Oryzias latipes: one gene and its partner. The protein of the gene in region 1 binds, or shares a complex with, the protein of each later gene. Links are inferred from orthologs where the notes say so. Each region holds a gene or a part of one and is shown in the gene's direction. Other genes may lie near its edges. The genes, in order: ribosomal protein S6 kinase alpha-3 and bmf.

What was found.
Region 2: the proteins of ribosomal protein S6 kinase alpha-3 (region 1) and bmf are in contact, whole or in part, in a crystal structure (PDB 8R58), measured with the Homo sapiens proteins. The link is inferred for Oryzias latipes from reciprocal best matches to the Homo sapiens genes RPS6KA3 and BMF. Residues at the interface, in NP_004577.1 of Homo sapiens: Trp252, Phe259, Phe268, Leu281, Ala283, Lys284, Leu285, Gly286, Met287, Pro288, Leu299, Arg300, Phe303, Lys304, Arg305, Asn306, Asn309; in NP_001003940.1 of Homo sapiens: Glu8, Leu10, Glu11, Asp12, Asp13, Val14, Phe15, Gln16, Pro17.

Annotation. Positions count from the first base shown.
Region 1 is NC_019878.2:2,760,268-2,764,081, reverse strand, and holds part of ribosomal protein S6 kinase alpha-3, read left to right. Parts: intron 1-562; coding exon 563-669; intron 670-804; coding exon 805-842; intron 843-933; coding exon 934-1,076; intron 1,077-1,470; coding exon 1,471-1,541; intron 1,542-1,840; coding exon 1,841-1,929; intron 1,930-3,281; coding exon 3,282-3,346; intron 3,347-3,414; coding exon 3,415-3,517; intron 3,518-3,605; coding exon 3,606-3,715; intron 3,716-3,814. UniProt on the Homo sapiens protein: Serine/threonine-protein kinase that acts downstream of ERK (MAPK1/ERK2 and MAPK3/ERK1) signaling and mediates mitogenic and stress-induced activation of the transcription factors CREB1, ETV1/ER81 and NR4A1/NUR77, regulates translation through RPS6 and EIF4B phosphorylation, and mediates cellular proliferation, survival, and differentiation by modulating mTOR signaling and repressing pro-apoptotic function of BAD and DAPK1.
Region 2 is NC_019880.2:14,506,677-14,510,953, reverse strand, and holds the start of bmf (bcl-2-modifying factor), read left to right. Parts: upstream 1-1,318; 5' UTR 1,319-1,535; intron 1,536-2,858; 5' UTR 2,859-3,037; intron 3,038-3,116; 5' UTR 3,117-3,143; coding exon 3,144-3,315; intron 3,316-3,931; coding exon 3,932-4,134; intron 4,135-4,277. UniProt on the Homo sapiens protein: May play a role in apoptosis. Isoform 1 seems to be the main initiator.

The DNA of each region.
Region 1 (3,814 bases):
ACCTCAGCAGAAGGAATCCTGAACTCCTCTAGAACTTTCTGCTAGACTGTTGCAGTGATTCTGGACTGAAGACAGCAGAGTTTACCAAGACCAGTTCTGGACTTTGCAGCCCAAATCCTGACTGACTGGAGATTTGACTCTGGACCTCCAGCAGCTCGGGTTCTGCTCCTCACCAGTCTTCCTCCAAACCCAAACAGTCCAGTCCTTCTTGGTCCAGTTGAGACGTTTCCTCCGTTGGTCCAGGTTCAGAAGTGTCTTGACCCGAGGACCCCGACAGAAACTCATCTCCCGGATGCGTCTGAATTTTATGGCGGATGGCACACAGCGTTGTAGTCTTCCCCGTATTGAACCAAACTGAACCATTGAATGACGTGTGGGGAATCTGTGCAGGTGTTTCAGGTTTAGTAGGTGATTAGTTGGTAAAACTCAGTTTGAAACATTCATGTCCTTAAAAGTTTGGGCAGATTTCTCCACACTTGTCTGATTCTCGCCAAACAAACACGACAAATCCATCCTCAGGTTTGATGAAGTACGGCCTGATGAATGTTTGTGTTTGATGCAGGTGATGTTCACAGAGGAAGACGTGAAGTTCTACCTGGCAGAGCTCGCTCTGGCTCTGGACCACCTCCACGGCCTCGGCATCATTTACAGAGACCTCAAACCGGAGAAGTAAGCAGACCCACACAGACGCACTCCCCTCATGCAGCATCACAGCTGGTTGTGGCTTCCTGCTTCCAAACCAAGATAGATTAGCAGATCTTTAAAGCTCCTGCTGCTGCTCCCTCAACATTTCTGTCGTTTCAGCATCCTGCTGGACGAGGATGGACACATCAAGCTGACCGGTGCGCATCCTCCTCCCCCCGCGTCTTTTGTCTTGTGCTGCCGTCAGCCGTCTCTCATCCGGTTTTCCCGCTTTCATGTCTGTGCGCTCAGACTTCGGCCTCAGCAAGGAGTCGATAGACCACGAGAACAAGGCCTACTCCTTCTGCGGGACGGTGGAGTACATGGCTCCGGAGGTGGTGAACAGGCGGGGGCACACGCACAGCGCCGACTGGTGGTCCTACGGCGTGCTAATGGTGAGAAGATGCTGCCCCCTGCTGGCTGCTTGCAGACCAAATTGCTGGCGATGTGCTGAAGGGAACAGAGGTCACATCTCCCCAAGTTCAAGAGTTCAAGGTCCCCTTCCTTCCTGGGTGTAATTTACAATCATATAGAAAAAATTCTCCGATGATTTTAGGCTCCAGGTGATGTGAAAATCAGTCCTGGATTTAATGGTTTGCTGCAAATTAGAAACAAACGGATGAAGCGGTTAAACTGAGTCTGAATTGAGACATTTAGGAAACGGTGACGGCGTCCTGTGAGCCTATCAAAGGGAGTTTTTGGTTCAACTGTCAGGAATCTGCACAGAAAGCCTGTGAGATCATGACCAACATGACTCCAAATTCTCATGCCAAACCTTCTCTCTTCCAGTTTGAGATGCTGACGGGAACGCTGCCGTTCCAAGGAAAAGACCGGAAAGAGACGATGACCATGATCCTCAAGTGAGTCGCAGCAAACCCAGGACGAGAGCAGAGTTTGAGTAGAAAACGATCCAGACGGAGGCTCAGAGGAGGTTCCTTTTGTGTTCTTGTGATTCTCCGTTTCTCAGTGAACATCCGGGAAAACGCCCGGATGTTCACTGAGAAACGGAGACGGGGGATCCAGAAGAGGACACAAACACTACTTCAACGTCTAGCCTTTCAGATTCCTTCCCGCTCCACCTCCAGCACGGACGTTCGATGCCGAAGCGTCACGCCGCCGCCGCCTTTCAGCTCACCTCCTCTGTTCTCCGTCTTTGCAGAGCCAAGCTGGGAATGCCACAGTTTCTCAGCTCAGAAGCTCAGAGTCTTCTCAGGAACCTGTTCAAGCGCAACCCTGGAAACAGACTAGGTAACACATCTGTGCGCAAGGCATGCTGGGATGCTTCTTGGAGATGGAACTCCTTTTAAGTCTTTTTGTATCGTACAACCCTCAGTGTATTTTAGATTTGAAAGGAACGAAACTGAAAGACTTAAATGATCCCATTTTATTGACAACAGAACAAAAAATACAAACAGCAGAAAGACAGAAAGGTTTAGCTTGAAAAAGCGTTAACTATAAAGGAGTCTCTCTTCAGCAGATGAATCTCTTAATGCTGTCATGCGAGTCTTTTTAATTAATCGTGACCTGTTGCTTATTAATCTATTCTCAACTACAATTATTTTTAACCCAATAATTGATTTAAAAAGTCTCATATTTAGATATTTTCATATGAATTCATGACATTGTGGTGCAGTTAAAAACCAAATTACAACTAAAAAACTGTCTCACTGAACTTTTTCTAATATAACAGACAACAAGGGGGATTTTTAAAATCTCAAACCGCTAATGTGAAACATAAAAACAGGAGGAACACCAACAAATACTGATAACACATGTTAATTTATGAGAGCGAACACCTCATGAAGGATCTATCCCATCCATGAGAGATAGATTTTGGTGTTGTGTGCTTGTTTGAGGTAGTTTTGTGAAGAACTACAAATTCGCACATTGATGGTGTCATAGCAGAGACACGGCACATGCTTTTCAGAGGCAAAAAGCTCATTACCTCGATTCTCTCGTCTTTAAACAGGTTTGATGGAAGAGAGGTGGTGCACCATTGTAACCATGGTAACCGAGCTGCTGATGGACTATTATCAGATTTCTCAGATTTAACATATTTTATCATAGTCCTTTTATGAATAAAAAAACAATTCACCCTATTTAAGGTTTTAGGTATTTTATTCTACTTGAGCTTACATTTTTCTGAACAAACAATAGAGATTAGTGACGGCGAGATGAAGCCCCATTAAGCTTTGAAGCGATGGAGACGGGATGGACTGTCACTGTGGTTGTGTTGCTTTTGTGACTTCAGGAAAGCAAAACAGGCATTCATTTTTGTTGTAAACAGCAGTTTCTCCTAAATCTCCAAACTATCTGCACTTCTATCCAAACTGTGTCTAAACTCTGACTGACCGTTAGTCGGAATCAAACCCACGGTCACCCAAGGATTCACATCGCTGTCAAAACACAAACTCCCGTGGTACGGCTGGGCGGCGGGGCATTTAAGCTCCTCCCCTAAATGGAGCACGCCTCCTCATGGGCATCGTGGACATGCCCCCCCACCCCCACCCCCCCCGGCAAAGAACTGGAAGCCTGGGAGCGTAAAGACAGACCCGCACAGGAAGGAGCTGGTTTTCATCCGATCCTCTGGTTGTGTTCAGGAGCCGGACCGGATGGCGTGGAGGAGATCAAGAGGCATCACTTCTTCCACACCATCGACTGGAATGTCAGTTCCTCCGTCCAACAGCCTCCCATCCCGCCTCCCTTCCTCTCTCACTAACCGTCTGTCTTCAGAAACTCTTCCGCAGAGAGATCTATCCGCCCTTCAAGCCGGCCGTGGGACGACCCGACGACACTTTCTATTTTGATCCAGAGTTCACAGCTAAGACGCCCAGAGGTAGCCCCCCCTCCCCTGCTCCTCCTGCCCCTCCCTCCCTGCTGAAGCTCCTCCAACAAGTCCTGCTTCACCTCTCTGTGCTCCTCAGACTCTCCAGGGGTCCCTCCGAGTGCGAACGCTCACCAGCTCTTCAGGGGGTTCAGCTTCGTGGCCATCACAGAGGAGGAGACACAGCCGCTGCCTCACGCTATCGTACAGGTACGCGCACGCTCCGTGCACGCTCCACAGAACTGAGCTTCTGCAATGACAGCAGCGGTGACGAGTTCAGCCGTCACAACACCGTCGACAAAATGTTTC
Region 2 (4,277 bases), on another chromosome or scaffold:
TATGCATATCGTGCAATATACATATCGGAAAAGATGGCGATCAAATTTATCGTTTTCGCGATATCAAGCTTGATATCGCGAATACGATAAATTTGGGATTTATTGTGCAGGCCTGGATACCAATTACTGATATTGATTACTGGTAATTTCTTATTTGTGATTTTTTTCCCCCCAAGCATATTATTTTTTATCTTAAAAACAAATACCACTGAAAACTGTCCAGATAACAACTTTAATATGCAAGGTTAAATAAATACATAACTGTTCTTTTTTTAAATAATGCACTTAAAGCAGTGCAATGATTAATTTCTCCTCCATGTTCAATTTTTAAACAAGTGGGACCTCTGTTAATTAAAAAAGACGCCATACCTTTGACCCTGATTGGTCAAAGTTCAACTGGTTTAACTTTCATCATGTGTTCAAATGCCAGGCATTTTGTAGATACAGCCCAAAAACAGACTTAAAATCTTGCATTGTTGAGTGTAAATGTTAGTTTTGAACATGGAAGCCCGAAACGCGCATATACGCACGTTTATGTAGACCTTTCAGTTGAAGAGGTTGCTTTTGTATGATGGTGTGAACAAAGCAGAAGATACACAACTCATGGTTCCTCTGGTCACGTGACTGATAGAGCAGCTTAATATGCTGTCTGCTGGGGGTGTCGCTCACCTAATAACCAAGCAAAATCTAGAAATGATAGATACACTTTTATTTTCTCATGTATTAATTAGTAATTGATAAATTAATAGAGTACTCAACACCCAAATTGCTAATATATGGGTATCTGTATTTTGACATCAATTCTCCCATAAGTTGGGAGGGACTTTTTTTCTAGAAACGCTTGTCTTCTTATAAAATAGACTTGTTTTTGAAATAAAAATTAAAAAGTTGTTCTAAAATAAAGTGGAAAAAACTTTAAAAGATGTAAATATGTTTGACTTAAAAAAAGAGTTAAATTTGTTTAACGTAGTTCAAAAAATAAAACACCGGGTTTTAAATAGTCAGTTCGGTTGAAAATAAAATAGAAGCTAAAAAAAAGATCAAGCTAAACCATATATGGCAGATTTGTCAAGCAAATAAAGCATTATGCCTCCACTGCTATGGTTAGAGACCAAGGCAGCGGAGGACAGACAGGCCTTCTAGCACATGAGCTGCGTAGTAGCGTGAAAGCGGTCTCGTGCTCCGGGGAATTTCCCGTCCACGTGTCTGAAAACACCGCGGCAGCGGCGGCATATAAACAAAGGCAGCCATTGGCTGGCGCGCGCGCACGTAAATCATCCTCTATTTACTAAAATTCAGCTCCCGCCCACTTGGCGGAGTCATCTCAGGCTGACGTCGGCGAAATCAGTCCGACCGTGGCAGCGCTCCTCGCAGAATGGAAGTAGTCGTTGAGGAATAAAGTCGTTTGACTTAGCAGGATTTTAAGACTTGGAGTCCTATTTTTTTTAGAAGTTTCTTTTATTTTATTGTTTAATTTTCGCCACATTTAACCCCAGAGTGCAGGACAAGTGTTTTAAACGCCGCCAGTCTTCTCGGTAAGAACAGCCTCCAAACGTTCAGCCGCTTTATTAGCTTTAACGAACTGAAGGGAAACTTGTTGTTGTTACTTGAAAAAGACGCAACACAGCTTTTTGTGGCGCTTGGAAGCGGCGCGCGCTTTCGCTGTGCTCTTCTGTCGTACAGTAAGATTTGAAAAACACCGGCTTTCCCGGCTGACACAGCACCAATGAAGTCAGCGCGGCCGGTCTCTGTCATGTGTCTGCACTTTGTTGTGTGACAGTCACCTTTTTCAACAGAAAACACTCCGTAAAGGCATATAAGCACGCAAATAACCGTTTATGACGACATTTCCGCCCTAAACTTTTGTTTGTAGCAGCAAACGTAATAGGTTGGTTTACTTTTTTTCTGTTTGTGTGTGTGAGTGACCCTATTAGGTTTCGATTCGGAATTAAATGCCCTCAACTGCACCTTTTGTCATAAGGCAACTTTTAGTTGTTGTTTTTTTTAATTGAAATTTTGATAACGAGAGCAATATTTATCAAGTTTGTGCCACTGATAGCTTAATGTTAGAATGAAGAGGGTGTCATGATGTTTATGGGCATAGAAGATGCATCTACCGTGGAGCTGTTGCTCCAAAACAAGCCCACTATAATTGACTTTTGTATTAAAATGCGCCCCCACCAGCAGGGGGAGCCACTGCATGACATAAAAATGTTTGTAGTCAAAATAGCAGAAAATATACATTTAAAGTATTTTGCTGTTATTATTATTATTATTTTTTTATATTTAAAAAAAAAGATAAAGTTAGACTTCCACGTGTTTGAGTCTTAGCAGACAGGAGCTGAGTGGAGTTTAAAAGAAAAGTTCAAAAGCTGTCAGGGAGAGTGGTAGGACTTTCCTCAGAAACTGTCATTCCCTCTTAGCTGTGATCCCTCATTTGGAAGCGTGATACCAGTGTGACCCTGTATTTACAACTCAGTGGTAACTTGGGTTTTGCTGCTGAGGCAAACATGAGTTTCACCCATGTTTTGATAACTTCTTGACACAGATTCAGGGAGTGAACTCCAGGATTCAGGGTGAACTCCAGGGCATCAGTGACTTTAAGAAATTGCTTTAGTTTTGTACTTTGTATACCCAGTTTTTGGATTAATGTTTTTCATTGAAATAGAGAAATAATATAAGAACTCAGTCATTCAGGGAAAAAAAGATAATTTTACGTTTTCTTTTACCAAGTTAACCAAGCTAGCTTCTATGTTACTGTGGCTTGATTGACTTCTAACCGCAGTGAATTGTGTGGTTTATTCACTGAGCTGAACAGACTCATTTGTTTAAATAAACGCTGAGCTCTTTACTTCCAGAGAAAGCAGAGCAGTCGTTTCATTTCCCCGTCCACCGTGGTTTCATTGATCGGAGCTCGCTCCATACAGGCCAGACAGGTTGTCTATAATGATAATGAGTGCCTCGGAGGAGAAAAAAAGAAGCAGATAATGAATGCGTCTGAGGTCATCTCTCCAGATCTGACGTAGATTTATTCAAGGTTTGTTAGAGAGAATGCCCTTGGTTTGTGGTGTTGCCCACAAATGCGCTCATTCTCTATTCGCCATATCGCTTTCAAGGTCACTCGTCTTGCAGTGCCCCCCCGTATGGACGATGAGGAAGACGATGTGTTCGAGCCGGACCCCAACAAGTGGCGCACGACAGCCAGGAAGATAAAGTGTGAAGACCGGGGCACGCAGACACCCGGTCCTGCCCTGGTACCAAACAACGGCATGCTTCTCTGTGGACTTGCAGAGGAGCCCAGACCACTTTTCTACGGTGAGGCTGATGACACACCGTCTTTCAAAAGCAAAAAAAGGGGAACATCGCCTGGTGTGTGATAACCAGTTATAAAACTCCGGCGCAGAGGCATAATGTGACACTTGATGTGATAAAAGCGCAACAGTGTTGCAGCCCTGAGCTCTCCCCTGGCGCCTGGGAGTCGTCATCAAACTCAGTTTTTTATGGCCATTGTGGCGTGTTACCAGCTGCTTTGCTATTCAGAAGGCGCCAGGCCGGCTTTGGGACAGGTGAGCACTGTGACAGCAGTGCAACAACTCCTCAGATAAATCATTATCAGTAGCAGCAAAGCTATGTTGGTGCCATATATGAGCAGTCATGCCGGAGTAGTTCCATAACAACTAACTGCTGAAGCCCTTTTGGGTGTCAGTGACCTATAAAACTATTATGTGCAATAAAACCACAGCTGGGGAAATTGTTTGTCAGCCGGGCAGCTTGTTTATCCAAAGAGACATTAGTCATCACTTGGAGTAAAAAAAATCTTGGTACCTGACATAAAGAGAGGTCTGTCAGGTTTCAGTTCTGTGTTTAGTTTAGTTTTTTCACCGAACACGTTGTTTACGAGATATTAAGTATCAGCTTTGACACTCAACAGGTAACGCAGGTTTTCGATTGCACTTCCCAGCACGCTTTGAGCTTGCTGGGGATCTTGAGGTGAGGCGGCACGACAGGGAAGCAGAGCGGCGCGGGATGGAGCGGCTTCCCCGGCAGCAGCCTGTGGCACGCAGCACGGAGGCCTGCATTGCACAGAAACTCCAGCTGATAGGGGACCAGTTTCACCGGGAACGCCTACAACTGGTGAGGAGAAGGGAAAAAAACAAAAACAAAAGGAGCCTGCTGACTGTAAAAACTCAGGACTGATTTCCTGGTAGATAATGTCAGCAAACAAGTACTTTCTACGTTTGACATGTCAGCATTGTGCTGTGCACTGGGTAACCTGA